Macaca fascicularis: one gene and its partners. The protein of the gene in region 1 interacts with the protein of each later gene in a biochemical or structural test. Links are inferred from orthologs where the notes say so. Each region holds a gene or a part of one and is shown in the gene's direction. Other genes may lie near its edges. The genes, in order: FBXW7, CCNE1, SREBF1, KLF5 and NOTCH1.

The links.
Region 2: of the proteins of FBXW7 (region 1) and CCNE1, one has a biochemical effect on the other in vitro, tested with the Homo sapiens proteins (18 studies listed by BioGRID and IntAct, with this or other methods). The link is inferred for Macaca fascicularis from reciprocal best matches to the Homo sapiens genes FBXW7 and CCNE1.
Region 3: the proteins of FBXW7 (region 1) and SREBF1 form a complex in vitro, tested with the Homo sapiens proteins (3 studies listed by BioGRID, with this or other methods). The link is inferred for Macaca fascicularis from reciprocal best matches to the Homo sapiens genes FBXW7 and SREBF1.
Region 4: the proteins of FBXW7 (region 1) and KLF5 form a complex in vitro, tested with the Homo sapiens proteins (2 studies listed by BioGRID, with this or other methods). The link is inferred for Macaca fascicularis from reciprocal best matches to the Homo sapiens genes FBXW7 and KLF5.
Region 5: the proteins of FBXW7 (region 1) and NOTCH1 form a complex in vitro, tested with the Homo sapiens proteins (2 studies listed by BioGRID and IntAct, with this or other methods). The link is inferred for Macaca fascicularis from reciprocal best matches to the Homo sapiens genes FBXW7 and NOTCH1.

What each region holds. Positions count from the first base shown.
Region 1 is NC_088379.1:157,242,600-157,248,272, reverse strand, and holds part of FBXW7 (F-box/WD repeat-containing protein 7), read left to right. Parts: coding exon 1-51; intron 52-1,002; coding exon 1,003-1,116; intron 1,117-2,383; coding exon 2,384-2,565; intron 2,566-4,422; coding exon 4,423-4,648; intron 4,649-5,673. UniProt on the Homo sapiens protein: Substrate recognition component of a SCF (SKP1-CUL1-F-box protein) E3 ubiquitin-protein ligase complex which mediates the ubiquitination and subsequent proteasomal degradation of target proteins.
Region 2 is NC_088393.1:37,077,756-37,083,428, forward strand, and holds part of CCNE1 (G1/S-specific cyclin-E1), read left to right. Parts: intron 1-2,884; coding exon 2,885-3,030; intron 3,031-3,153; coding exon 3,154-3,289; intron 3,290-5,673. UniProt on the Homo sapiens protein: Essential for the control of the cell cycle at the G1/S (start) transition.
Region 3 is NC_088390.1:17,915,248-17,921,044, reverse strand, and holds the end of SREBF1 (sterol regulatory element-binding protein 1), read left to right. Parts: intron 1-155; coding exon 156-324; intron 325-852; coding exon 853-961; intron 962-1,242; coding exon 1,243-1,352; intron 1,353-1,437; coding exon 1,438-1,570; intron 1,571-1,770; coding exon 1,771-1,936; intron 1,937-2,425; coding exon 2,426-2,626; intron 2,627-2,717; coding exon 2,718-2,829; intron 2,830-3,321; coding exon 3,322-3,551; 3' UTR 3,552-4,095; downstream 4,096-5,797.
Region 4 is NC_088391.1:64,024,679-64,031,000, forward strand, and holds the start of KLF5 (Krueppel-like factor 5), read left to right. Parts: upstream 1-2,386; 5' UTR 2,387-2,711; coding exon 2,712-2,972; intron 2,973-5,232; coding exon 5,233-6,106; intron 6,107-6,322. UniProt on the Homo sapiens protein: Transcription factor that binds to GC box promoter elements. Activates the transcription of these genes.
Region 5 is NC_088389.1:2,813,709-2,820,042, forward strand, and holds the start of NOTCH1 (neurogenic locus notch homolog protein 1), read left to right. Parts: upstream 1-2,201; 5' UTR 2,202-2,456; coding exon 2,457-2,517; intron 2,518-4,115; coding exon 4,116-4,194; intron 4,195-6,334. UniProt on the Homo sapiens protein: Functions as a receptor for membrane-bound ligands Jagged-1 (JAG1), Jagged-2 (JAG2) and Delta-1 (DLL1) to regulate cell-fate determination.

The sequences.
Region 1 (5,673 bases):
CAGCACAGAATTGATACTAACTGGAGGCGAGGAGAACTCAAATCTCCTAAGGTAACTGAACTCTGCACAGTGTAACAGAAACCATTAATCAGTGTTAGTACCTAGTGTACTATTTCACTTCTTGGCAAACTGTATAATTTGACACTTCTCTTCTGTGGAAAGAAAACCATATATTTTAAAATAACTGAAAGTATTACTGACAGTATTCTTTTATTGCTAATTAATCTGACAACTAATTGTGCTTGAACAAAAGATAAGTTAAATTGAGTATCTTTTTATCTTACTTAAATGAAAATCTCTCAATATCCTGTTGAATTGTACTGTGTCATACACATTCTACCTGAGAATTTGCTGCCTTCTCTGATCACATAGTCCAAACATGATTTTTTGAGGAGTGTCTGTGTTTTGGTATTGGTGGCTTTCGTGTGTCTTATTTTTATAAATTGAAGCATAATTCTGGTTTTCTGTATTAAAACGTTTCAAATATATAAAGAATGTTAAGAACACTTTAAATTATTGAGCATATTTTTACAACTGGAAAAAAACAGTTTGGGGAGACATTGTGATACTAATATGTATATGTTATAGATTTTTTTTGTTTTGAGAATGCTAATAATTGTTACTCTTTGTGGTTAATAGATGCGTATTTTGTTCTTGTGTGTCAAAGTTGTAAAAATTAGAGGCATATTCTTCTGGTTTGAACAGATAAAATAGATTATTGTCAAATACATTGGTGTTCGAACCATCTTCATGAGGTCTTGATGCAGTAAAACTTTAATAGTTGATGTTTTGAGTATAAATAATAGACTATGGAAACAATAAAATGTTTAATTCTGAATTCGTCAGCCAGGAAAAATAATGCTTTATATTTTATATAAATTATAATTCTAGAGATAGACTACAAATTACCGTTCCAGTTTGTGCCTTCATTTTTCTCTTCACCAGTGTTTTAAAGAACATAATTTAATTAACATATTTCTAATCTGTACATCTATCTTATAGGTGCTGAAAGGACATGATGATCATGTGATCACATGCTTACAGTTTTGTGGTAACCGAATAGTTAGTGGTTCTGATGACAACACTCTAAAAGTTTGGTCAGCAGTCACGGGCAAAGTAAGTTTACTCTTCCTACACTTCACAAAGTCACAATTTTGTGTATAGCATTGCAAGTAGCAACTGGAAAAAAGAAAATCAGAATTCATTCTTGATTCTCAATTATTGGGATAGCAAATATCAGAGCTCGTAACTTAGCTTTTTCCCCCATATTTATGAAAATCAATGGCATGAGGATAATGATGTTTCTCATGATAGAGGTTTCATTAATTTTTTTTCATTTACATAGTTTGTGACAGATATTTTAACATTTTCAAGGGTGCTTTATATTTTTCTTGGCTCAATTTTTCCCCACTTTTATTTACTGTCTAAGTTATACCTCATTACTTTGTAATGTTTTTCAGAAGTATGGTTGAGGGGTATTTATTTTTCCTTATGAACTGCTTTGTTGATAACCTACCTATTGTTTAGAACTTAATAAATCATGTTAATTTATACTTATCTCAAACCCTTGTGAGATGAGAGTGGACTAGGCATTTAAATGTAAGTTTGAAGAAAAAAGTAGCCCAAGCAATCAGCTTGACCGTGTACTATATCATACCTTAATGATTCTCTAGCAAATATTTATTTGTATCTGTCCAGTAGAGAATATTTTCATGAATTAAGTAATTGCCACCTAAAAAATAACAGAAGAGAGTATGAAAACAAAAAAAAATCCATGTCTTTTAAAATGTCTTTTACCATGGTGCTTCTTGGCAAGTATCTTATAAATACGCCAAGTCAGATGTTAAAATTTTTTAAAGCAGCTTTATATTTCCATAGTGTAATATTAGTTTGGGATTTATTTCAGGGCCTTAATGTCTGTCTTTACTTGTCTAGAAGTAGCTTCACTGGCTCCTAACTACTGCCCTGGGGCAGATTCAGATGAAATGTGGTATGTAGCCACACCCAATACTGTTGGCATACTTTCATTGAATCTATTCCCATGGAAGAAACCCAGTTGCAATTTCAGTATTTTTTCATCAAAGAGACCAGAGCTATCATAATTGCTTTCATATCATGTTTCCTTTTTATTATATCATATTTTATATCATATGTTTGCTTTCTACATGTTCTTCAATTGCTTGTGCTTATATAAATTTATAATGCTTTGAATAAACAAAACTATAAATAGTGATGGGATCATTTTATACGGATGTGTAAAATAATATTTTCTGAAGAGCCAAACGAATAAATAACTTTACTCCAAATTTTAATGAGCTATTAAATTTTATTTAAATCACTTTTCCTTTCTACCCAAAAGTAATCATCTTAAGTGTTTTTCCAGTGTCTGAGAACATTAGTGGGACATACAGGTGGAGTATGGTCATCACAAATGAGAGACAACATCATCATTAGTGGATCTACCGATCGGACTCTCAAAGTGTGGAATGCAGAGACCGGAGAATGTATACACACCTTATATGGGCATACTTCCACAGTGCGTTGTATGCATCTTCATGAAAAAAGGTAAGGGAAAATCTTATCGTGGTTGGGACTTCTTCCTCTATTATTTGTGAATTTGGGCCCTTTCTGTATAGAGTTACTGAAATAGTGACAATGAGCTCTTAAATTACATTTAATTATTAGACTTCAGATGGTTCTATTCTAGGAAAGCCATAGTGTTTTGTCTTAAAATTGGGGATTGTCTGTAAGTTTCCTTTTTCATTTGCTAGTGTTGTCGGCTTCCTCTTTGAAGCTCTCTACTCTCTAATCCTTTTTATTGTTCTGTATCTTTGATGACTCATCATGTTCAAGCAGAAATCATTTTTTCTCTCTCTTTTTTTGATATTCTTACTTCTGCAAGTGGGACAAATTCAGGCTTCAAGCGTCTGAGCCTTTTTAAATTACCTACCCACCTTACACCCACCCTATCTCTTAAGTCTAGGCAAAGGCTGAGGCCTGTGAGTAATTTGTTCTCTCATTCTGAACTAGTGTCACAACTTTCTAACTTGGTCATCTTACATTTTATATGCTGACATACAGTCCTTTTATAATTATGATAGTGTCACTGCCCAGTTCTTAAGTCTTTGTGAGCCTACTGTTGACTAACGAATTAAGGAAGAAATCCTCAATCCAGTTTTCAAAATGGTGTCTGCCAAACTAGATTGCTTGACTTTTTCTTCTCAGTGCCTTTGCTATTACTTTTATCTCCTCCTGTAAAGCCCTCCTATTAAAATCCTATCTTTCTATTATCTTCATCATACCCCTGTTAAACAAGTGTGATTTCTGCCTCATTTGTCAAAAAAGGTCTCTCTGAAAGGTCCTTACAGTGAATCAATGGCAGTCTTTACCTTTAATTCTGTCTATAGCATCTTCTTATATTAAGAACCATTACATTAAGCAGATTTCACACCAGATTTGTAATATGTTTTCATTGTGTTCCATTGTGTTCTGACTTAAATCTCAACCCTTTAATTTTCTAATTTTTCCAATATGGAAACTGTGGTATTTCTTTTATCTCTTCAGAATGAATGACATAAGGATACCTGAGTTTTCAGCTTTGTTTTGTAATCCAAAAGTGATTACAGTATTTGCATATTGCTCTGGTTTTCAGGAGAGTGTAGCACTAATGTTGAACCACATGTTTAAGGGATAGCCATTGTTTTTAAAGATGTACATATCTTTAAAGATCCATATCAATATTTTTATAGCCTATTGCATATTTATAAATCTAATCATTAAAAGCATAAGCAGCCTGTGTTTGAGGACATGTCTAAAACTGGTTAATTTTTACTGGAATGTATAGTGTAAACACAAATCTGCAGCTGTTTAAATTCCAAATCCTGACTTGTTTTGTTGTATAACCTTTATTGAATTTTTTACCTAATCACAAGGGAATATATGCATCCATAATTGAAATTTTGGAAAATGGCAAAGAACATAAAGAAGAAATTTAAATTCTTTAAACTACTACCACCTAGAGTTCTCCCATTAACATTTTATACACATGCCCACATTAACATTTTATTTCTAAAATCAAAATCTTATTGTATATATTTAGAGGCAGCTACTGCTGCTTTTAAAAAAAAATACAGTGCAGTGGTTTTCAAACTCAGTCCCACAGAACCTCGAGGTGCTGGAACTAAGGTCCACAGGTCAGGGAACCAAGCATGAAGCATTCTAGGCTTCCCAACTTCCCATTCCCTTATTGTATGTTTATATACCAAGGTTTTACATAGGATTTCTTTTGACAAGAGTTGTTCCTGTGTAAGAAAAAGAAAGCTAAAAAACCTTGACTAAATCTATCATGTTTTCTCATATTATTAAAAATTCTAAACATGGGTTTTTTTGTTTTGTTTTGTTTTTCTGTTTTTCCCTCTGCAGAGTTGTTAGCGGTTCCCGAGATGCCACTCTTAGGGTTTGGGATATTGAGACAGGCCAGTGTTTACATGTTTTGATGGGTCATGTTGCAGCAGTCCGCTGTGTTCAATATGATGGCAGGAGGGTTGTTAGTGGAGCATATGATTTTATGGTAAAGGTGTGGGATCCAGAGACTGAAACCTGTCTACACACGTTGCAGGGGCATACTAATAGAGTCTATTCATTACAGGTAAGATCTCTTATCTGTCCCTTAAATGCTCTCCTGATGAATCATAAGGTTGTTTTACTCAGATAATCGCTGTCAAATTGCTGCTCCAGTACAATCCAAAAAAGATTAACCAGATTATTCTGCTGTTTTTATATAAATTTCAAAATTATTTAGATGCTTTCAATTTTCTGTGATCTATTTCTCCTCTAAATACAAATATTTGTCTTGTAACCTGACAATTTGGGACTCTAAGGTTTGCTATATTAATTAATGGTTAAATAGTCTCATAGGAGAGTAACCTGGATTTTAAGAAACTCCTTTGCAGAGGATTAATATGGCCCAAAGCTGACCCTTTGCTTTGATAGCTGAAAGTTGATGGACCATGTAATTGTGATTCCATCCCCATTCAAAGTGGAAATAGATCCTTTCTGCATAAAGCACTCTACTGTCCCAGGCCCACTGATTTGTAGTCATAAGGAAGTAAAGTTGACTAAACAGATTTTTTTTTTTTTTTGGTTTACATTTCAAGCCCATATCCTTGAAAACATTGCCATATTTTAAGATCATTGACTAGATGAATAGGAAGTTTAGAATATGAATCTTGTTTTGTTTCCAGAAAGGCAACATTTTCAATGTAAAAATATTTCCTACAGCCTATATAGTTTATTTATCAGTTATTGCCCATTAATGTTCAGCAAATTAGTACATAATCTTAGTACTGTCAATTCTGTTCTTAGGATATTTGTTTCTTTGTCGAAGGAATATTGTCCATGTCATGAAATATTGACAATATGATCAAGATGTTTGCTAAATTAGAAAAGGTGATGAATTTGGAGGAAGGGAAATTGGCTGCACCTGTTTGTGATATTCTCAGAAGCTTAATGAATATAATATTCTAATTTAAATAACCCCATTTGATTGAGAAAAGAGGTAGCCACATTATTATATAGAAATGATAGATTGTTGTTGACTTTTGGTGTAGCTGGGAAGCTGGAGAAGAGGTGGTATGTAGTTTGCTTTTGATAACAAAATGCCACCTCTTCTGA
Region 2 (5,673 bases), on another chromosome or scaffold:
GCAGCCTATCTCTAAACTAGCTGGTCAGGCCTTCTGACTCTATCACAGATAAACGCTGAACAGAAACAGTGTTCCACCTGAGTACAGGGATCCCAGCTAGGTTAGCAGAGGAGCACCTCACTGTGCAGAGCAGCAGCCAGTTCATCTGGAAGTGTGAAGGGTTTCAACTCAATGGGCCGTGTTCTAAATAGCAGTTGTCACTGTAAGATTCCCCCAAAATAAGCATTTCTGAAGAGGGTCCACTGACTATTGAAGAAAGGGTTGCCGATTTCCTTTTTCATTCAAAGAAATCATTTCAGAGAAGGAAATAAGATGGCATATCCCAAGTTTTTTGTTTTTTTTTTTCTCCCCTTAAAAAAAAAGTACGTTCAAATCAAGCAAGTTGATTTTTTAGGTATTATAAAATGAATTCTGACTTTGTGAAATTCAGGATTGTTTATTTTCCCAGCTGTGTTTTGAATAAAAAAGCAACTTCCAGCTGAAGATGAAGCAGGGCCGTCCCTGTTACATTCTTGGAGTTTTAGAAGCATGTCTGTTCTCAAGGATAGCCTGAGTAGTGACGAGGGTGCCTGGGACGGATTGTGGCTCTGTCCCCTGGCCACAGCGTGGATAGCTGTGCTGCCAGAATAGCTGTACCGTTTCCCACTAGAAGGCATTTTCGTGGTTATCCAGAGATTAAAGGCAACAGATTTCTGTACATTTTGTAGAGTAGATAGCTTAAACATTAGCTGTCTATGTATGGAGCAGTATCTTTGTTATTTCTTTGTGGATTCATGAAACTAGAACTTGGGGGTACCACAGAACCTTTTTCCCTGTTCACATACAGAACTTTTCTCTGGAGTTACCATAGTTCACCCCAGTACGACAGTTTTGAGCTACTTGGAGCCATTGTGCTAAACTCTTGTGTAACTGCTTCATCAAGACCACATGGAGGTTTTTTAATTTTCATCTTAGCCTGTTCTTAATGAAAAGAATACCCTTTTATCTAAGACCTACTTAACACGTCCATTATGTTATTTAATTTTTTTGCACGAGACTCAGTCTTTCTATTGAAGTGGAATCCTGGACTGTTACTTTTCAGAAAATAATCCTACATAAGGAAAAAAGTGGTGTGAGGAGATGGAGTGGTTAGGAATCCCGTTGCTCTCATTCCTTCCTAAATAAAGTCAGACAGATCTTGCTTTGAAACTTGGTGTACACTCAAGTTAAGGACATAGACTTAATTATTCTACCTCATCCACTGGTCCCTAAAAGGCCAACTTTGGAAACCGTTTGTCTGCTGATGGTTCACCTAGTTTGTTTGGGAACTGCTGCTGGACTCATCTATGTCCAAAGGCCTGCTCTCAGATGTGCCAGCCAGCTGGCCTTAGAGGGCGGCACCCAGCATTATGCCTTCAAGACTAGAATTCATTCTTCCTGAATGAAGAACAACTTACAGCGGTTGTAATGTGACCCTTTTTGAGTCAAGGAAATGCCACCCGCACATGGTACTAGAACTGAAAGGAAGCAGCCTTGCTCGCACAGCTGTTGGCAGGAGCTGTCATGGATAATTTGCATGCCCAATTCTTTGTACATTGGGTGGGGAAGAGCTTTATCTGGCTTTGCTCTTCCAACTGAAAGTGTTTGGGCTTCCTCTGAAGGCGACCAATGTGCTGTGGTCGCCACTCTGTGCTGTGTCTTTGAGGTAGCACTTAGAGCCCAAGTTTCCACGTTCATTATAGTGACCCCAGTTGTCTATTTTTTTAAAGCAGAGACCACCGCCAGGCTGGTGGTCTCTGCTTAAAAAAAAAAAAAAAAAGCCAAGTGCGGTGGTTCAGGCCTGTAATCTCAGCACTTTTGGAAGACAAGGCAGGAGGACGGCTTGAGTCCAGGAGTTCAAGACCAGCCTGGACAACATGGCGAAAACCCATCTCTACCAAAAAATACAAAAATTAGCTGGGCGTGCTTGTGCATGCCTGAAGTCCTAGCTGCTTAGGAGGCTGAGGCAGGAGGATGGCTTGACCCCAGGAGGCAGAGGTTGCAGTGAGCTGAGATCGCACCACTGCACTCCAGCCTGGGCAACAGAGGGAGACCCTGTCTCAAAAAAAAAAAAAAAAAGCCAAGTCTCAGACTTTCATACGGCTTCCATGCTAGTGGGATTGTTACCTGCCTAATATCTTCAGCAGAGTTACCATTTTATAACTTTAAAAATCAGACATCTTAGAGTAGGAATAGCTTAAGAAAATATTCTAAATGAACTTTAGTGTTTTTCAGATACTGAAAACTGAATACATATCTGAAACCTTTAAAAGAAAAGCATAGTGCTTTGGTTTATAATAGTTCCTTATTTTATTGGGTATTTGAATTAGCCTGCAAGATTCGAGATTCAGAGGTCTTAAGGAGTATCTAGACTAGCTTCCTGTAGACTTAATAGTATGACCTGTGACCATCACTTGATTTGGTTTTAACTAGGTGGATAGTCATTCTGTTTGTTTCGAGTTAAGGAAAAGAGAAAGTCCTTTATTGTTTAACATATTTGGCTAGTCGCGCAACAAAAAAAAATGTCACATTTGGTGGGTTTTTGTTTTAAACTGAGGGGACTTTAATATATATGGCAGCCAATTTACATTTTTGATCTTTTATACTCATGAACGTGAAGTGCTTATGTAAATATTTTTATTGACAATTCTGTTTTCCTTTTGTGAAATTTTAGTAGATGCGTGTACTCACTAAAAAACAAATCTTTGAGTTGTGACAAAAAATACCATAATGTATCTTTTTGGAAGCACTTTCAGAGGTCATGCCCAGTATCTTACTGAGTTGCAAGTGACTTTGCAGTGTTTTTGGGTAATGTAGGAGCTGTTTGCATCTTATCTCACCTCTCCTGTGTATTTTTCATTTACAGCCTTGGGACAATAATACAGGCTGTGCAGACCCCTGCTCCCTGATCCCCACACCTGACAAAGAAGATGATGAGCGGGTTTACCCAAACTCAACGTGCAAGCCTCGGATTATTGCACCATCCAGAGGCTCCCCGCTGCCTGTACTGAGGTCAGTGCCGACTCTACCACGTGGCTTCCAGGTCTCTTACTCCATACTCCCCTTTATCCCTCATAGCATGGACGCATTCTCACCCCTGTGTGGGCCTCATTTTTGTTGTGTGTTTTGTTGTAGCTGGGCAAATAGAGAGGAAGTCTGGAAAATCATGTTAAACAAGGAAAAGACATACTTAAGGGATCAGCACTTTCTTGAGCAACACCCTCTTCTGCAGCCAAAAATGCGAGCAATTCTTCTGGATTGGTTAATGGAGGTGAGCTTGAGTCTTCCTGTTGCCTTCATGAAAGCACTGAGCATTTCCAGCATTTTTGTGTATTAGGATCTCTGTGTGGTTGATTCCCTTGACACGTTCTCCATCTCTGAAGCTATATGGTATATTTACTGAGGTGGTCTTTCTGTTTTGCTTGTATTCTTAGCAAGAATTTCTGAAATCTTTTTTTTTTTCTTCTTTTCTTTTTTTTGAGATGGAGTCTTTGTCACCGAGGCTGGAGTGCAGTGGCAAAATCTCGGCTCACTGCAACCTCTGCCTCACAGGTTCAAGCGATTCTCCTGGCCTCAGCCTCCTGAGTAGCTGGGATTACTGGCACACGCCACCACACCCGGCTAATTTTTGTATTTTTAGAAGAGACAGGGTTTCACCATGTTGGCCAGGCTGGTCTTGAACTCCTGACCTCGTGATCCACCCACCTTGGCCTCCCAGAGTGCTGGGATTACAGGCCTGAGCCATCGTGCCTGGCTAAACTGCTTTTAAATGTACCCACTGGAACGCATATATCACCTCTTTGATAGCTACTGTCATAAATTATAAACACGTGTGAACAAGTTTATCTTAAGCAGGTCTGACATTGTTCCTTTTTAACTTCTTGGAATCCATTCCCTTTTGCCACCATTCCCATTTATTCTAATAAAATATACTGTTCAAATCCTGGCTGGGCACGGTGGGTCATGTCTCTAATCCCAGCACTTTGGGAGGCCAAGGCAGAAGGATCCCTTGAGCCCAGGAGTTGGAGACTAACCTGGGCAACATGGCAAGACCCCATGTCTTTTCTTTTTTTTTTTTTGAGACAGAGTTTCGCTCTTGTTGCCCAGGCTGGAGTGCAATGGTGCGATCTTGGCTCACTGCAACCTCTGCCTCCCGGTTTCAAGCGATTCTCTTGCCTCCAGCTCCTGAGTAGCTGGGATTACAGGCATACGCCACCATGCCTGACTAATTTTGTATTTTTAGTAGAGACAGGGTTTCTCCATGTTGGTCAGGCTGGTCTTGAACTCCTGACCTCAGGTGATCCGCCTGCCTTGGTCTCCCAAAGTGCCGGGATTACAGGTGTGAGCCACTGCACCCGGCCCTCAAGACCCCATTTCAACAAAACATAAAAAATTGTCAGGGTATAGTGGCTCACGCTTGTAGTCACAACTACTGCGGAGGCTGAAATGGGAGGATTGCTTGAGCCTGGGAGTTGGAGCCTGCAGTGAGCCATGATAGTGCCACTGCACTCCAGCCTGGGTGATCATGGGACTCTGTCTCAATTTTTTTTAGCACATTTTTAAAGATATTTGGACCATTGGAGTGGCTTCTGTATTTTGAGACAGAGTTGCTCTGTCACCTAAGCTGGAGTGTAGTGGTGCAGTCATGGCTCACTACAGGCTCCAATTCCCGGGCTCAAGCAGTCCTCCCGCCTCAGCCTCCCCAGTCGTTGGGACTACAGGCATGAGCTACTACACCCTGCCAATTTTTTATTTTTTGTTGAGATGGTGTCTCATTGTGTTGCCCCAGCTAGTCTCCAACTCCTGGGATCAAGGGGTCCGCCTGCCTCGGCCTCCCAAAATGCTGGGATTACAGGTGTGCGCTACAGCACCCAACTCAAATCTTATCTTGATCCACACTATTTTGTTTCTCTTTAACAGTTAATCAAAAGAACAAGTATAACAAAATTTAATAGATAATGGTTAAACATAAGAGAGATTTTATGGGTAGTATATCTCTTACTGGGATGAACTGCGGTAGCTCATAGTTTCTGATTAAGGGAAACTTCCTAGACAACCTTGTAAGACTTGAATGGATGAGAAGTGGGCTTTTCTTCTGAAAAGACGGACATCTCAGGCAGACCCGTTTCATGAAAACATGTAGAAAATGAATATGTAACTACAAAAGTACCCCTCATCCTTGGGAGTACATCCCAAGACCCGCAGGAGACGCCTGAAGCCACAGATAGTACTGAGCTCTAGCTATGCTATGTTTTTAATCCTCTACTTTCACATTTTCACTTAAAGAAAGCACTTCACGGCTTCTCTTTGGCGTTTCCAAATAGCCAGCCTCAGTACTCTTGCCCTGTGGGGCCATTATTCAGTAAAATAAGGGCTGCTTGCTTGAACACCAGCACTGCTGTGCTGTGACAGTCCATCTGATAACCTGTGTGCTACTGAGTGACTAACAGGCAGGTGGCCTGCTCCACGGGGATGTGCGGGCAGGGGGATGATTCACATCCTAGGCAGGTGAGGGTGGGACAGGCCAGAGGGCCCCTCATTTAAAACCTATCAGTTGTTAGGCTGGGCACAGTGGCTCATCCCTTAATCCCATCACTTTGGGAGGCTGAAGCAGGCGGATCACTTGAGGCCAGGAGTTCAAGACCAGCCTGGTCA
Region 3 (5,797 bases), on another chromosome or scaffold:
GCTTATCCCTGCAGCTCTCTGCAGAGGCTCGCTGGGTAAGAGTTACACGGGATGTTGCAGTGGTTACCAAGGGGGATCCAGGCCAAGCTAGGGCTCAGCCTGGGGTCTGGCCCCAGCCTGTGTCCACTGTGACAGCCCATTTCCCTCCCCTACAGCGCTTCTTCCTGAGCAGTGCCCGCCAGGCCTGCCTGGCACAGAGTGGGTCTGTGCCTCCTGCCATGCAGTGGCTCTGCCACCCCGTGGGCCACCGTTTCTTCGTGGATGGGGACTGGGCCGTGCTCAGTACCCCACGGGAGACCCTGTACAGCTTGGCTGGTAACCCAGGTGCTCTCTTACCCTTTCCCTGTCCCCTCTCCTGTCCCATGTCCTCATTCCTGTTCTGTCCCTTGTCGCCTGAATCTCTGGCTGTCTCTGGCCACCCCAGTCCTTCTCCCTGCCATGGGTTATTGATGTGGGGGCTGTAGGAAGGGAAAGGCCTGAGTGAGTCTCGGTTCTCACTGGGGCTTTCAGAAGCACATGCAGGGATTGAAGGGCAGGTGGCTGATTGGAGAGGTGACCCCAGGCAGCACCGCTGTGGAGTAAGGAAGCGGAGCCAACAGTGGTGCCTTCTCAAGTCGGTTTTCCTTTGGGAGCAGCGTAGGGCAGGCCTCAGTGTTGTCCTGGCCAACGCTGGTGCTGGCGTAGTTATGTCCACCTGTTTTCCCCTGTCCTTGGCACGGGCTGCACCCAGGGGCATGCCGGCACTTCCCAGTGACCCTGAGTGTGGCCCCAGCCCACCCAGGCAAAAGCCCTTAGCTTGGAGAAAAGGGTGGGGCCCTGCTCCCCACCCCACTCACCTCCTCTTCTCCACAGTGGACCCCCTGGCCCAGGTGACTCAGCTATTCCGGGAACATCTCTTGGAGCGAGCACTGAACTGTGTGACCCAACCCAACCCCAGCCCTGGGTCAGCTGATGGGGACAAGTAAGTGTCATTGTGCCCTCCTCCACGCAAGGCTCCTCTAGCAGGATTCTGGGAATAGCTCTGTCCTCAACCCTGCGGAGAGGGCCAGAGCTAGGCTACCATGCGTGCCATGCGCCCTTCGTTCCTCTCTGGGTTTCCTCTCCCCACCAGCCTATGGGAGGAGACAGTGGCAGTTTGCAGAGCCAGGGGTCAGGCTGTACTCTAGTGGGCAGGTGGGGAGGGCCAGCACCCTCCTAGGACCCCTGCCATCTGTCCCGACAGCCAACCCTCTCCTGCCACAGGGAATTCTCGGATGCCCTCGGGTACCTGCAGCTGCTGAACAGCTGTTCTGATGCCGCGGGGGCTCCTGCCTGCAGCTTCTCCATCAGTTCCAGCATGGCCACCACCACCGGTGAGCCCCCGGCCCCTGCCCTGGCTCCCTTCTCAGTCCCCGTGCAGCGTGGCTGAGGGTTCAGGGGACCCTCCCTCTTTTGCAGGCATAGACCCAGTGGCCAAGTGGTGGGCCTCTCTGACAGCTGTGGTGATCCACTGGCTGCGGCGGGACGAGGAGGCGGCTGAGCGGCTGTGCCCACTGGTGGAGCACCTGCCCCGGGTGCTGCAGGAGTCTGAGTGAGTGCACGGCAGGTTCCTCCTGCCTGGCCCTGGGCCCAGCCTCCCTCATCCCCTGGGCACTGTACCTCCACTCAGCCTTTGTGCAGGAGGGGTCACCACCTTTTATCCCCAGGGAACTCGAGCCAGGGCAGTGGGAGGCACTCAGCCAGGGCTTGTGGACTGGTCTGATTGGCACTCTTCTGCCCTGGTCCCAACAGGAGACCCCTGCCCAGGGCGGCTCTGCACTCCTTCAAGGCTGCCCGGGCCCTGCTGGGCTGTGCCAAGGCAGAGTCTGGTCCAGCCAGCCTGACCATCTGTGAGAAGGCCAGTGGGTACCTGCAGGACAGCCTGGCTACCACACCAGCCAGCAGCTCCATTGATAAGGTGAGGGGTGGGGTCAGGGGCCTGGCAGGGCTGGGGGACTCAGCCTTCCATTCCCTGGTCCTTCTCCCCAGGCCCCAGGGACTGCAGAAGACCATGGGGTTAGCCCAAGCAGCACAGGATGAGGGGTCCAGCAGATAGGAGATCCAGCAGTCCTTGCTTTTTGGCTAAGGCTTCTGTCTAGAGGAGAGGGGTTGCCCTTATCTGGCCTCAGTTTCCCCATTCTGGGAGGATGGGGGTGGATGGTGTGGTAGGATCCCTTTGGAGGCCCTGCATCAGGAGGGCTGGACAGCTGCTCCTGGGCCGGTGGCGGGCGTGGGGGCCAAGAGAGGCGGGCGGCCCCGCGGTGCATTGCTGTTGCATTGCACGTGTGTGAGGCGGGTGCAGTGCCTCGGCAGTGCAGCCCGGAGCCGGCCCCTGGCACCGCGGGCCCCCATCCTGCCCCTCCCAGAGTTGGAGCCCTGGTGACCCTGCCCTGCCCGCCACCCCCAGGCCGTGCAGCTGTTCCTGTGTGACCTGCTCCTTGTGGTACGCACCAGCCTGTGGCGGCAGCAGCAGCCCCCGGCCCCGGCCCCAGCAGCCCAGGGCACCAGCAGCGGGCCTCAGGCTTCTGCCCTTGAGCTGCGTGGCTTCCAACGGGACCTGAGCAGCTTGAGGCGGCTGGCACAGAGCTTCCGGCCTGCCATGCGGAGGGTGAGTGCCCAATGGCTCCCTGTCCTCAAGATGGGGAGTCAGGCAGTGGTGGAGAGGGACAGCCCTGAGCCTCCACTCTCCTGGCCCCCAGGTGTTTCTACATGAGGCCACGGCCCGGCTGATGGCGGGGGCCAGCCCCACACGGACACACCAACTCCTCGACCGCAGTCTCAGGCGGCGGGCAGGCCCCGGTGGCAAAGGAGGTGAGGGGCAGCTGCTGACCAGGGATGTGCTGTCTGCTCAGCAGGGAAGGGCGCACATGGGGTGTGATACCAAGGGAGGCTGCGTGTGTGTCAGACGGGACAGACAGGCCTGGCACAGTGGCTCACGCCTAGCACTTTGGGAGGCCCAGTCAGGAGGATAGCTTGAGCCCAGGAGTTGGAGGCCGCAGTGAGCCTGGGTGACAGGGAGAGTCCCTATCTCAAGGAAAAAAACAAAAAAGCATCTTCTTGGTGGTTACCTGATGACAATTCCTTTCACAAGAAATCAGTGGGGCAACTGTCATTTGTGGGATATATGACTACACGTGCGTGACTCAGTCTGTGGACTTTATGTGTGGGCTGAGACTAGGGTGGGGAGAGGGGAACGTGTATACTAGGTATGGGCGGCTGGTGCCTTTGCTTGTGTGTGGGCGGGGCTCCCGCGGGGGCGTGGCCAGCCTGAGCCCCATCCCTGACACATCCTTGTGTGCGCAGGCGCGGTGGCGGAGCTGGAGCCGCGGCCCACGAGGCGGGAGCACGCGGAGGCCTTGCTGCTAGCCTCCTGCTACCTGCCCCCTGGCTTCCTGTCGGCGCCCGGGCAGCGCGTGGGCATGCTGGCTGAGGCGGCGCGCACGCTCGAGAAGCTTGGCGATCGCCGGCTGCTGCACGACTGTCAGCAGATGCTCATGCGCCTGGGCGGTGGGACCACTGTCACTTCCAGCTAGAACCCGTATCCCCGGCCTCAGCACCCCTGTCTCTAGCCACTTCTGTCCCGTGCAGCTTCTGTCCTGTGTCGAAGCCCTGAAGGCCGAAGGCAGTGCGAGAGACCCTGGCCTCCACGGTTCACCCGCGGCTGCGCTGTCCCTTCGGGGTGGAAGGCCAGAGGGGCGCAAACCCGACCCTAATACCGGCGGCCATGATGGTGCTGACCTCTGGTGGCCGATCGGGGCACTGCAGGAGCCGAGCTGTTCGGGGCGGGGGGGCCCTCCTTGCTCTGCAGGCACCTTAGTGGCTTTTTTCCTCCTGTTTAGAGGGAAGAGATGGGTACATTTCCCTGCGCTGACGGAAGCCAACTTGGCTTTCCCGGACTGCAAGCGGGGCTCTAGCCCCAGAGGCCTCTCTCTCCCTTGTGGGAAGACGTGTACATAGTGTAGGTCAGCGTGCTCAGCCTCCTGACCTGAGGCTCCCGTGCTACTTTGCCTTTTGCAAACTTTATTTTCATAGATTGAGAAGTTTTGTACAGAGAATTAAAAATGAAATTATTTATAATCTGGGTTTTGTGTCTTCAGCTGATTGATGTGCTGACCAGTGAGCGTGCTTGGGCCCTCCCCCAGCACCTTGGAAAAGGCTTCCCTCCCCTCTCCGGCCACGAGGGACACAACTTAGCTCTTTCCGATGTTAGTAGGGGGAGTGGGGAGGGCTGGCTGTATGGCCTCCAGCTGACCTGTCCCCCTGTTCCCAGGGCACGTTTGGGCTGTCAACCCTTAGGGCCTCGATGGGGTCAGTTGTCCCTTCTCTCCTCCCAGCTGTGTCCCCATCAGGTCCCTGGGTGGCATGGGAGGAGGATGGACTGTCCTCCAGGACCTGTTTGTTGTATGACAGGAGCTACAGCTTGGGTCTCCCTGCAAGTCTGGCACGTCTCACCTGCCCCCATCCTAGCCCCTGGTCCTTTCACAGCAAAGAAGCCTCCTCCCTCCCGACCCGCCGCCACACTGGAGAGGGGGCACAGGCGCGGAGAGGTTTCCTGTTCTGTGAAGGGCGGGCTCCCTGACTCCATTCATGCCCTCCTGAGCCCCTCCCTTCATTCCCATTCCCCAACCTAAACACTGGCCCGGCTCCCAGCTGAATCTGGTCGGAATCCACGGGCTGCAGATTTTCCAAAACAATCGTTGTATCTTTATTGACTTTTTTTTTTTTTTTTCTGAATGCAATGACTGTTTTTTACTCTTAAGGAAAATAAACATCTTTTAGAAACAGCTCGATACACACAATCTTCAGTGTGAAGCAATATACTAATAAGAACACTAGTCGTCTTAACATTTACAGTCTTCATATATATTATATATATGTATATGTATACATATATATACACTATATAACGAGGCCAGATATAATACACACGTTTACCATTTTACAGTCATATGTACAGGAAGTTGCTAGGGCGGCCCTGGGCTGGGGGCTGCATCAGGCCTATCGAAGCGTGGACAGAGCTGAGGACACGGACGGACAGGCAGACGGACTGGCAGGGACTGGCCCGGGCCGGTGGTGGCTGCGTGGGCAAGGGGCGTCGTGGTAGCCCCCTACCCGGCAAAGGCCCGGTTGGGGCTCTGCTGCGGGCGCACGACGCACGGCGGCGACACACGGGAGAAGCGAGCATGTTCCCAACATATATACATTCTATGTAACATATATATAGAGGGGTACACAGGTTTTGTACACGAATCTAGCGCTGTCCCTGCTCCCGTGCAGAGTGGGCGCGGCGGTCCCTGGTGGTGCACAACGGTCGCGCGTCCGCCGGAGGTGCGTTCTGGCCGCTTCTTGGGTTTTGCGCTCCCAGGCTGGGCTCCAGGGGTGGGGTGGACTGGAAAGGGGACGAACAGAGGCCAAAGGGTGTCCCAGTCCCGCCCACAACCTCTCGGAGAGCCCGCAACCCCTAACTGAGCACAGCCCAGGTCTACCCCGGCTTTGCCCGAAACGCACGACAGATCTGGCAAAGGCTGGGCGGGAAGGCCCCTGGAAGCGTTCCGCACGGTTTGTTCCAAAGGCTCAGGTCCCTCCAGCGCCTGCCTAGCCCGCTCTTAGAAAGGCTTCCTTTCTCCCCCGCCTAGTCCACGGAGCCAGGAGCCGCCCTCCGCCTCTTCCAGAACTGTTTCGACCCCCACCCCCAAGCCCAGGGCTCCCAGCTGCACGCCACGACCGACTGGGGTGGCGACAGCACCCACGTGGAATGTGTGCCACGTCGTCTTGAGAT
Region 4 (6,322 bases), on another chromosome or scaffold:
AAATGTCTCCGAAAAGGATTACTTTCCAATTTCCGTACTATTGTACAGTGCTAAGCTAGTTATTTTCTGTGAGATTGCAGAGCAGGGCATTTCAGAGAAACTATTACTTAAAAGTGGCAGCCCTATTTCATGAATCTTTATGCCTGAAATGAAATTTTAAAAGGTGCTACTGTATTGGAGCAAAAAGGAATATATTCAGTTACTATAAGAACCCCAACGCTAGCTTCATATCTATATTCATTATGAAAAGTGGAAATATGAAACAACAAGACTAAAAATATTAAAAACAATATTAGTTGTGTGTGTTTTTTTCTTTTTTTGCAATGAAAAAGCTTTTGTAAATGAAAGCATGTTAAAAAGTGGTGTGAAATTATGGAAGCATTTCCAGTAAAATACAGGGATTTTATTGCAGTGAAAACTTAGATTGAAATACCAGGCCACTGAAGCTCTCGTAAAAAGAAAGACAAAAGGAAAGGTCTAGATAGGTTTAAAAGCACATTAAGATACAGCTACCAAATGTATTAAATCTAAGTTAGATTTAGCTTAAAGTTACAAGAGCACAAAAGTTCTATTAAGAATTATCTACATCACATTTAGGTTTGATGTTATCAGAATTAAGTAACTAACAATCTTTCAGAGCTCAATTTTTTAAAAGAGTTACATTAAATCCCATCCTAATTCTATAATCTGTTTCTAAGCTAATTAATTACATGATCGGTTTGATATTAGAGAAAAGCAAGACAGCTTTTTAAAGATGAAGGTGGACAGCATGGGGCTGTTTGGTTAGAGAAAAACTTGCAAAAGCACTTATTAAATAATACTTTGGTAACATGAAAGTAGTCATCAGTCATTCTCTGAAGGCAGTGGTCACAGTTAGTAGAAATGAATCATGTATCAACAGGAAGAGAAGGAAAAGGAGAAAAACCTAGTTTACAGCATAATTTTATATGTTCTAATAATAAATACATTTCTTTATGTGCTTATTAATTTTCTACCCATTGAAAATGAGATCCATACCTTTGATAGATATGCTCTTTGAAGTGAACGTTTTTTTCAAATACTTTTTTTTTTAAAGCTGTTTTACTCTGAAGCGATGAGTAGGCTGTCGTATATGTAAAACTGTCTAATGGTATACTGTGCTGTCAACATATGTACATTTGTAGTAATATCACAAGCATTTTTATTGCAGTTTATTGTTCCGTCCTCCCAATAAGCCAGATAAAATCATGTACAAGAACATTAAGGATTAAGGGAAGTGGTTTCCTTAGGTGATTCCTGGCAAAAATTCACCCTCCCATTATAACAACATAGTAAATGGACGGTAATATATTTGGCTATTACCTTCCAACAAATTTGGATTCCCAGTTTTCAGTGTCTATGTGTCTATGTTTGTGGCTTTCTGGTTGTCTCTTCGTAGGAAAAGGTGCCACAATGTGAGGTAAATGTGCTAGGTTTCTGTTTTGTAAATATTAAAGTCCATTTTTTTAACATACAGTGCTAGCAAAAATAAGTCAAAGATGTAATGTCTATTTAAGTACACATTTGAGCCAGTCGTGCTTAAATTAGATTCCATGCTTCGGCTAGAATCAACATGGCTTAAATATTAGAAACTTCAAAATTCATGTGGCCCAAGCCCTCCTCCCCACACACGGATAGGAGGTACAAATGTGTGGGAAAACGTCTAGCAATTAAAATCCTGAAGGAGTGGGAAAAACTCAGGCTTTTATGCGAGGATTTGAAAATAACGCTTCCCATCAAATCTTTTATTCAGGCATTCTGAATTTGCCTTGTTAAATGGATACAGTCACTGCTAAAGATACATGAGACAAGAGCTGTTTTAAATTTGTTTATCACACCGCCCCTAGTTTTCTGCTAAAGAGAAGTATATTTCGGATATTTAAAAGTACACACTCATTAGACAAATCTCTAAAAGCCTCAGCGCCCCCACCTAGCTGCCTTCTGGGTTTCAGCTTTTGAGTTTCAGGTCCTTGCACAACACCTAAGACGTGCAATACTCTTTTTCTTCCTAATCCTGGCAGAGAACAGTGCGAAGAGCTCTCCCTCCGCGTCTCCACCCTAATTCCCCCTCTTCCCAGATTCCACCCGCTCCGCTACTTCCCTCCGCCCCCAGCTCCGCCAGCCCAATCTGTCAGAGAAGTTGTGTACAAACTGCGCGGCCGCCCTGCGCGCGAAGCTCGTGGCCCGAGAGGGGTGCGGTCGGGCCGGCGGAGGCGGGGCCCTGGCTGCCTCTCTCCCTGCTCATAGGCTGGCCGCTCAGGCCCGGCCGGCCTTGAGGCCTCGGGATTCGCGGCGGCGCTGCCAATCAGGCGAGCGGGCCCCGCCCCCCCGGAGTTGGGTGAAATAGAGGCGGGCGTCAAGTGTCAGTAGTCGTGGGGCAGGTACGCGCGCTCGCAGTTCTCTCGCTGAGGTCGGCGGTGGCGGGAGCGGGCTCTGGAGAGCCTGAGAGCGCAGTGGGGCGGGGCGGGAGAAAGTGGCCGCCCGTAGGACGTTGGCGTTTACGTGTGGAAGAGCGGAAGAGTTTTGCTTTTCGTGCGCGCCTTCGAAAACTGCCTGCCGCTGTCTGAGGGGTCCACCCGAAACCTCTCCCCTCCTCCGACCGCAGCCCCGCACCGAGCTCGCCGCCCCAAGCCAGGGTGGGCGAGGTGGGAAGTGCGCCCGACCCGCGCCCGGAGCCGCGCTCCCGAGTGCCCATGGCTACGCGGGTGCTGAGCATGAGCGCCCGCCTGGGACCCGTGCCCCAGCCGCCGGCGCCGCAGGACGAGCCCGTGTTCGCGCAGCTCAAGCCCGTGCTGGGCGCCGCAAATCCGGCCCGCGACGCGGCGCTCTTCCCTGGCGAGGAGCTGAAGCACGCGCACCACCGCTCGCAGGCGCAGCCCGCGCCCGCGCAGGCCCCGCAGCCGGCCCAGCCGCCCGCTGCCGGCCCGCGGCTGCCTCCCGAGGAGCTAGTCCAGGTAGGAAGAGCCGCTCCCCTCCCACCACTGCACTCCCGGGCCCGGGCGTGTCCCGTCGCTGCGACGCGCGGGCGACAGGGGCCGCTCCAGGCTGGGGCGTGCGTCGGGGCGCACCGGAGCCGGTGCTGGGTGGGCAGCCCCGCCCTGCACGCCTGGCCGGGGACCCGCGTTTCGCTGAGAGTAAATGAGGGGTCGGGAGGGGGGAAGGATAGAGGGGAATCTGCCCCGGCGGCTTGGCCTGGGAGAGATCAGAGGGAGGGAACTGGGTGCTCACACGCACCTTAGTTGTTTTTCTTACACTTGAGGGACGAAACCTTGTACCTTACGCTCAGTTTTACTTAAATTACGTCTTCACCTTTACCGCTCCCCAGTGCCAAGGCATTGGAGCTCCCCCATCCCCATCGTCTCGGGTTAAGTAGAAACGCAAATTGGGGTGCTGGGGAGAGGTTGCTCAAGATTTCATAGCCGGTGGCTCAACCTGCTTTAGAAGCGATCGCGGGCCGCGTTTGGAAAATGAGAGTTAGGAAAGCTAAGGTTGTGTTGGAGCGCTTATTTTTCCTTAAAAAAAAAAAAAAGACCGGGGGTGTTGTTTTCTTCGTGTGCGCGTAAATTTCCTCCCGGAGCCGCGTTGAAAGCTGGCAGTTGGCTTTTACACTTGCCCAGCAGCCGAATTAGAGCAACCGCCTGTTTCTTTCGCCCACGCAGGGAGTCATATAGCCCAGAAAAAAACTTCCCGGGACTTTTAGCCTGTCCCAAGGAAAAAAAAATTGGAAACATACCCACATGCAAACAGCTGGAAGAGCTAAAATCAGAAACCACTAACCGCCGCGGGAGCGCAGTGCACGAAAGGGTTTAGTTCAGTTTATTTCAAGACACTTCATTTAGTAGCCCTTTGGCGTATCGCATATTTGCTACCCAGCGCCTACTCCGTGGGGTCTGTCAGGGTCCTGCTGTGAGAGGGCAGTGGCATTTGTCAGAGATGTGACTCACATGACGTGAGCGTTAATTTTTATTTTTAAATCGTGTCTATCCGGGAAACCCCGTCCGGATCCACACCAAGGTCCGAGATGAAACGCATTTGAAATGAAGTAGTAGCAGAAAATGACTGTCTTATTTACCGATTAAGGTGCCAAGCTAATACTATGCGCCATTCCATCTAGTTGGTTATCTTATCTTTCGAAATTTCCTTTTTCAGTGTTAAAAAATGTAGGCTTAAGTTATACTAGGAGAGAAGATAGCTGGAAAAAGCTTGAGGCGACTTGTTACAAGCTGATTTAAAAGCCTAGAAAAGAGATCATCGTTTGAAAAGTATTTGGTTATTTCAGTTTGTCAATTTTCTGCTCTGGAGGCACAAGAAGATAAGGGATGACTGAGCTTTTTACAGAGTCGGGGGGAATGTAGCATTGGCCCACTGAGGAGGACATGATAAATGTTTTGCTGATGACTGTGCTAGGGATACAGCAGCCTCCCCACCCACGGGCTCCTTAGCAGCACTCTAGCGAGGGAGTGATTTTCCCCTAGGTAATTAAAGATCTGTTTTAGATAGGGGTATGAATAGGAACATTTCATTATCATATTAACCAATTACAGGATCTGCTGATTAAAATCAACCTTTAGGTCAAATATTGAATGTGAAATTGTTTTGTTTCAGTGGATACAAGGTTTTGCTTAGAACATTGTATTTCTCATTGAACTGTAAACAAGAAAAGACACAGAAGTAGCCAAAGAATATTTTTTATATTACTTTTGAAGTGTCTAGCCAAATAAACCTTTGCAATATTTTAAAGGTTTGCATAGTTTTTTCTGTAAAAAAACAAAACAAAACAAAAAACACGCTTTTTAATGTTTATGACTTAAACAGAATTGAGGTAGTTTGGCAACATTTCAATAGTGTACTCTAATTGCAAATTTAACTGTGTAATGGGGCAGGGAATCCTGCTTGTACAGGGGTGATACCTTGTTATTGCATCAGAAAGGAATGTTTTCAGTTTGCTTTCTTTTTTTTTCTTGATTTGCGTCTTTCACTTTTGGGGGTGATTGGGGGAGCAGTTTTACCAGTTACACAGTTTCATAAGGTTTTGGTCAACCAATTATTACACAATCGACAAAATAAGCCTGATATGTTTATAAGCAACACTGAGGAGTTTGCCCGAGTACCTTATACAGGGATTGGGGTAATTTTTAGTAGGCGCCGATTGTTTGTCCTTCCCAAGATGGTGAATCAGGTGGATTATGCATGTTTGTATCTCTTCTTTTTTAGACAAGATGTGAAATGGAGAAGTATCTGACACCTCAGCTTCCTCCAGTTCCTATAATTCCAGAGCATAAAAAGTATAGACGAGACAGTGCCTCAGTCGTAGACCAGTTCTTCACTGACACTGAAGGGTTACCTTACAGTATCAACATGAACGTCTTCCTCCCTGACATCACTCACCTGAGAACTGGCCTCTACAAATCCCAGAGACCGTGCGTAACACACATCAAGACAGAACCTGTTGCCATTTTCAGCCACCAGAGTGAAACGACTGCCCCTCCTCCGGCCCCGACCCAGGCCCTCCCTGAGTTCACCAGTATATTCAGCTCACACCAGACCGCAGCTCCAGAGGTGAACAATATTTTCATCAAACAAGAACTTCCTACACCAGATCTTCATCTTTCTGTCCCTCCCCAGCAGGGCCACCTGTACCAGCTACTGAATACACCGGATCTAGATATGCCCAGTTCTACAAACCAGACAGCAGCAATGGACACTCTTAATGTTTCTATGTCAGCTGCCATGGCAGGCCTTAACACACACACCTCTGCTGTTCCGCAGACTGCAGTGAAACAATTCCAGGGCATGCCCCCTTGCACATACACAATGCCAAGTCAGTTTCTTCCACAACAGGCCACTTATTTTCCCCCGTCACCACCAAGCTCAGAGCCTGGAAGTCCAGATAGACAAGCAGAGATGCTCCAGAATTTAACCCCACCTCCATCCTATGCTGCTACAATTGCTTCTAAACTGGCAATTCACAATCCAAATTTACCCACCACCCTGCCAGTTAACTCACAAAACATCCAACCTGTCAGATACAATAGAAGGAGTAATCCCGATTTGGAGAAACGACGCATCCACTACTGCGATTACCCTGGTATGTGCTCTTACCTGGTTGAAGCATCAATAGGTTGTGTGTGTGTGTGTGTGACTTTAAAATGGCAATTGAATAAATTGCAGTTTTTAATTCTAAATTAAGTGCCCCAGAAAGAGATTAAAGTAGGGTAGGGGAAAATAAGGTTTGGTAGTGAAGTGGAGGTTGTAGGCAGCTAGCGTGATGGTAGGTACAAGACTGTCTACAGGATAGATTTAA
Region 5 (6,334 bases), on another chromosome or scaffold:
CCCCCTGACCTGCAGGAGAAGGTCTCCAGGCCCCAGGGCAGCAGATACACTCCTGCTCGGTAGGACCCCTGCCTTCCCCCACTGCCCACACCCACTGGCCTGAAAAAGAGGAATGGGAAGCCCGGACAACTTGTGAATGAAGCTTCTCACCTACTTGCCAGGGGCCCACCCCCTTCCCAGGCTGGTGGGGAGGGGAGGCCCATCCCCCTCATCCCTTGCTTCTCCTCAGTACCAGCTGTCCATGGGGTACTCCCGGCTGTGGGTGGTGCAGGCGTTGGGAGCTGGGAGGCTGAGGCCTGTGCTTCCCTCAGGTCTGTGCACCCAGCTCCACCATCTGTAACATGGGCTTATGAATGTGCCTGGCTGCTGGGCGGCTTGACGAGTGGACATCGAATGGGCCACTCTCTTCTCTGCTGGTAGAGGATAGAGGCCCCAGGTGGAGATGCTGTCAGCACAGCTGGGGCAGACCAGGGGAGAACCCCCGTCCAGGGATCCCCTCCCCTCCCAGGCCGCCCCTCCCAGGCCACCCCTTCGAAAAATGTTGAGGACTGGCCCCCGAGCTAGGGCTACATGGGCCATTACTTCTGGCCTGGGGCTCACAGGCAGAGATGCCAACGGAGGCACACAGGCAGTTGCACCCGATCAACACTAGGCCTGAGGCCTTCAGGCCTCCCTGTGCCCCACCCCACCCCCACCTACCGGGAGCAGAGGACGTCGTGGTGGGCAGTGTCCTCAGCCTGGGAGCCGCACAGCCCCGCGCTTCCTTCTATGGAAAATCTGCTCCTCCAGGCTGCCGGGCTGCTGTTACATAAACATCTCTGCTGCCTCCAGACGCCTCCTCTCCTGGGGCGCTGACCCCGAGATGTTACCCCAGGCCTGGAGAAGTGAGGCCAGCTTCTGGGAGGACGCAGGCGAGGGAGGCTCCCAGCAGCAGCTACAGGGGGGGATAGGCCGTCTGCACTGGCTGTTTCCAGAGTGCTCAGCACTTGGCAAGAGGTGTGCCAGGAAAGGCTCGCTGGAGTCAGGTGTGAGATTTGTCCCGCTTTCTGTGCCTCCCTCTGCCACCATGCTCTGCGGTTTCTGCAGCCACTCCCCCAGGCTCCCGAGTCCTAGGTCCCTCTCAGCCTTTCAGTCTCCCTTCAGGGCAGGCATAGCCCTCCTACTCCAGGAGAGCCCCCAGCGCCTTCTGCCATCGCACTCACCACCCTGTGTTGGAGTGGGGAGGGGGCGCTGTTTGTCCCCAGCACGAGGCTGTGAACTTTGCGCAGGGACTATGGCAGGCATTTTGGACTCCTGGCGCTTAACCAGGCTTGGCACAGGGTGCCCGTGCCTGGCATCGTGGTGGAGAAATAAATCAGCCGGAAGGGGCACGTGGGAGGGGCTGCGCCGGCGCCAGCGGCAGATCCGCCCGACCCGTTTGTGCTTTCTGGGGCCACCTTAGGCAGGCGGCGCCCCGGCAGGAGGAGGACGGTGACCGAGGAGCATGTCGACGCGGGTCCCCCCTGGGGCAGCGGGGCGCAATACGTCCGCGAGGCACTGGTCCAGGCTGCTCCCTTGGGGCGCCCTAAACTCCCTGCCCTGAGGCCGCTGCGCCCCCATCCCTCGCGGTCAAGTGCTCAGGCAATCACGGCCAGGGGTGTCTGGCGGCGATCGATCCTCTGGACGCCTAAAGCCGCAGCCACGGGGCCCTGGGGAGGGAGAGAAGCCGCTGGGCTAGGGGCGCACCCACGGCTAGGCCACTTCTCCCAAAGCCCTGCCCCGGGCCCGGGGTCCCCCAACGTGGCCTCAGCTGCTCCCCGCCCGGCCCAGAGCACGGTGGACACAGCTGCCTGCGGCCTCGCCCTCCCTACTCCACCCCGGGCTCCTCCGCTTATTCACATGCAAACTTCCGTCGCCAATTGTCGCCGAGCGCGGCAACGGCCAGAGCCGGATCCTTCCGCAGCCCCGGCTCAAACTTTTGGCCTCTGAAAACTTTCAAACGAGAAGTAGTCCCAGGCGCCCGCTCCCGACCCACGCCGCGCCGCCGGGTCCCTCCTCCCCGGAGAGGCTGGGCTCGGGACGCGCGGCTCAGCTCGGGGAGGCGCAAAGGCGGACCCAGCGCGCGGGAGGAGGCGGCCGCGGAGGGGGCGGGGGGACCGGTGGGGGCGGGGCCGGGCGGGGCGGGGCCGGTGGGGGCGGAGCGCACCTCGACTCTGAGCCTCACTAGTGCCTCGGCCGCGGGAGGGAGCGCAGGGGCGCGGGGCGCGGGGCGCGGGTGCGAGCGCAGCGAAGGAACGAGCCAGGCGCGGAGACGGGCCCGGGAGCCCGCGGGAGCACAGCGCCAACTGCCAGCCGGGGAAGAGAGGGCGGGACTGTCCGCCGCCGCCCCGGGACCGTCCGCCGCGCGTGTGCGTCCCAGCCCCGCCGGCCAGCGCAGGAGGCCGCCGTCCGGGCGCAGAGGGCAGCGGGGGGGAGGCATGCCGCCGCTCCTGGCGCCCCTGCTCTGCCTGGCGCTGCTGCCCGCGCTCGCCGCACGAGGTAGGCGCCCACCCACCCGCGAGCCCCCACTTTCCGCGCTCTTTGGAAACGGCAGCGCCCGGCGCACGCGCCCCGTGGCTGGGAGCGGGCGTGGAGAGGGAAAAGCGGGCGGCCCGGGGCGTGGGGTTCTTGGAGTCCCGGGCTGGGGGAGGACCGACCCTCCCCCTCGATCCCCCCGTGGAGGCGGACTCGCGCCGCCCGTGCCTGGAGCCGAGTTTGGAGGCCGGCGTGAGGTGCTGGGGTCCCGGAGGCCCTACCCGGGCCCGCCCTTCACCCGCCGCGCGTGGGGCTTGCCGCCGGTCGGCCGGGCGGGCGGGCTGCCTACTACTTTTCGATTTGAATAGAGTCGGTTTTGGTTTCCTGTTGCTTCTCCGGGCCATTTATCTTCTTTCTTCTTCGCTTCTGGCCCACGCCGGGGCGGATGTTGGGGCGCGGAGTGTGGGCTCCGCGGCGCCGCGTTCGCCTTCACTGACCCGCGCGGCCCGGCTGGGGCCCCGGGCTCCCGGTCGCCCCGCCCGCCGGTGCCCCCCAGCCCAGCTCTCAGTTTGGGGGAGGGGTTTGCGTAAGAAGCCTTCGTGCCGGGGGGCACTGAACTTTTCCTTTTGCTTTGCAGAGTTGAAGTTTGGAGAGCTTGGGGGTGGAGAGCGGGACGCGGGTGGGGGGCTCTTACATCTCTCCTCGCCGCACATCGAGGGGGGTCTCTGGGGAATCGAGTGATTAATCCACTCTTTCTCCGGGAGTTGCAGGCGAGAATTATTTGTTCTCTTCCAGAAAGTGCTGCTCTATGTCACACCACCCTCCCCCGTTTCTCAGCCCCCTAAGATGGGGAGGGAGGGGCTTGAGTAATTGATCCCTTCTCGAGATGGGGTCGAATTCCTTCCGAATGGGGGACCTTCATCCCCCTCCTGTGTGTGTTTGGGGGCTGCCCTAGAGATGCGCGCCCGCGGGAGCAGGTATTGGGTGTCGGCGGAGGCGGGGCCGGGTCTCCGGGGTGCAGTCCTGGTGCCCCTGGAGGCGGCCCCGACTCCACAATGGGCCGCTCTGATTCTGAGGCGGAGGCCGGCGCTTTGTTGGCGGGCGGGGCAGCGGGCGAGCAGCTGTCGCATTTTCCCACGGGCGGGAGCTGAGTGTGGCCACCCCCCCTTCCCGCCGTCCAGCTCTGCCCCCTTGCAGAACGGGTTTGAACAGAGGCAATCTCGGCGGCTGGATGGGGGGCCCTGCTCTGCCAGCCTCCCCAGTGAGCCTCTGGGGTGGGGGGCAACGCTTGGGAGAGTAGCCCACTTTGTCTCTGCTTTTACCCCACTGCGTCCAGGCGGCACGTCAGGCCACCCCATCCTGCTTCAAGCAGGACGTGTTCCCTGCTGCTCCTCTTCCCCCCATTTCTGACTACAGAACTCTGGGCAGAATGTTGACGCCCTTTGGTTTCATGGTGGGGCTTCCTGTGGTCCCCTGCCCTGGTAACCCATGTCACTGAGTAGAGGCGTCCAGGGTCGGGGGAGGACAGTGCCCCTCGGCTGGGTGCGGGTCCCACCCCCAGGGTAACAAGGGCCTTCGGTGGTGCGGGTGAGACTGACCTCTCTTCTCCTGCCCCTGCCTAGGCCCGCGGTGCTCCCAGCCGGGTGAGACCTGCCTGAATGGCGGGAAGTGTGAAGCGGCCAATGGCACGGAGGCCTGCGTGTGAGTACCACCCCTGCGGGACCTGTTGCTTTGTTGAGGGCAGAGCCCCTGCCTTCTGCAGCCGCGCTGGGGACAGAACCCTGGGGCATTGTCTTCTGGAGATGGCCCAGAGTCTGGGCACGGTCACGTGCTGACTTTTATTGGACAAAGTCTGGCAATTACTTAATCACCAGCAATTATGCTGCGTGTGGAGCTGGTCTGACTGCTGGGGGCTTAGGCACTCCTCTGTGGGCCACCTCAGGCTCCTGGGTTACTAAGTGGGAGTCCCAGGACCCCAATTCTTCTTAAAGTCCCCAAGAAACAGTTGATCTGTCAGGGGAAGCTCTGGACCATTTACTGAGAAGCCCAGACCCCACCACCCTGCCAACTTGGGGCACCTCCTCTGGGCGGGTGATGCCTCCTGGGCAGGTGATGATGCCTCCTGGGCACAGGTGATGCCTCCTCTCCAGGGGTGATGCCTCCTGGGTGGGTGGTGATGCCTCTTGGGCTGGTGGTGATGCCTCCTCTTGATGGGTGATGCCTCCTCTGGGCACAGGTGATGCCCCCTGGGTGGGTGATACCCTCTATGGGTGGGTGATGCCTTCTGGGCTGGTGGTGATACCTCCTGGGCACAGGTGATGCCTCCTGGGCTGGTGGTGATGCCTCCTCTGGGTGGGTGATGCCTCCTTTGGGCACAGGTGATGCCACCTCTGGGTGGGTGATGCCCCCTCTGGGCGGGTGATGCCTCTTTGAAGGAAATTGACCCTTCACAATTGGACCCGCCTTTGGGCTCTTGTTTGCCCCAGCTCCCTCCTCCCGGCCTCAGGCTGGGGCTGGGGAAGAGAAGGCGGAACTCATCTTTTGGCGCGGGGTGTGGGGTAATTATTGAGTCTGGTTTCTGTCCTGGCATCTGCAAACTCTGACCTCCAAATCCCGTGGCCCTTTTGGTCTGCCAGGCTCAGATGTAAAATGGGCATGGAGGGGGCTGGGAAGTCGCGGGGAACCGCTCCCTCCTGCCTGCCTGTGAGTGCCAGTCGGCGGTGGGGAACTGTTCTGCTGTGGCCGATGCCCTTCAACTTGAGTCCATCCCTGATGAGAATAATGAGGAGGTGTTTGGTGGCTGGAAAAAGAGTTCCCTCCGCCCCCCAGGAGCTACAGATGAAGAAATGGCTCCCCAGCCAGTCTGGGCGCCCTCATTCCAACTGTAGAAGGTCCCATTCCCTTGACAACCCCAGCCCGGCTCCTGCCTGCGCCGACTGCCCAGCCTGTGGGCAGCAGCCCCCCTCCCTCCCCGGCCCCCACCCTCCCCAAACTGAAGCCAATTAAGCAGGTCCGTGAGCAGTTTAATGGACAAAGCCGGCTGTGTCTTTGTCAGACACTAATGAATGCGCACACTACTTTTTTTTTTTTTTTTTTTTTTTGCTTTTTGGGGCCCCCTTCTCCCCCTGCAGAAGCCGCACGGACGCTTGATGCCCTAAATCTTGTTTCCTTTCATTCAGAGACCGACAGCTGGGATCCAGGGGAAGTGCAGCAGCTATTGTTGGGGGAGGCGGATTAATGCCGTGTGATTAATTATGCGTGGCTTCCCAGAATGTATAACCCCGTTCCCCGCCACCGCGCTCCCGGCTCGGACTTTGCCTCCACCCATTCAGGTCTCTGGGAGAAGCTTCTTGCTCCTGCAGAGGACTTTGGGAGGGTGGGAGGAATGCCGTGCTGGGAAAATTGGGGGCCTGTTGCTTCTTCTCAGTGGCACTAGGCAGTAGGAACAGCTTGGCCCACAGGGATCTGGGACTGAGGTCTCCACAGGCCAGAGGGCTGTGCTTTGGGGTACAGATGGCTGCAGCTCCCTGATGTCTGGGCCAAAACCCTGCCACAGGGCCGCAAAACACTTGTGTCATGGGCCCACTCTCCCATTCCCCAAACCTGGGATCCTGGTGAGCTGTTTCCTGCCCAAGGCAGGCCACTGACCAGGGCTTTGGTGCCTGGCCTTGTCCCCTTCGCTGGGGCCTGGCGCCCCCTCCTTCTTGGCGGGAAGCCTGCTTCAGTTTGGCCTGACAGGCAGCCGAGCTCAGCCCACAGAGACCCCATTGTGCACACCCCACAAGTCCAACGAGAAGATGGGACGGAAGTGCGTCCTCAGGCTCCCGCCTCTGGGCTGCAG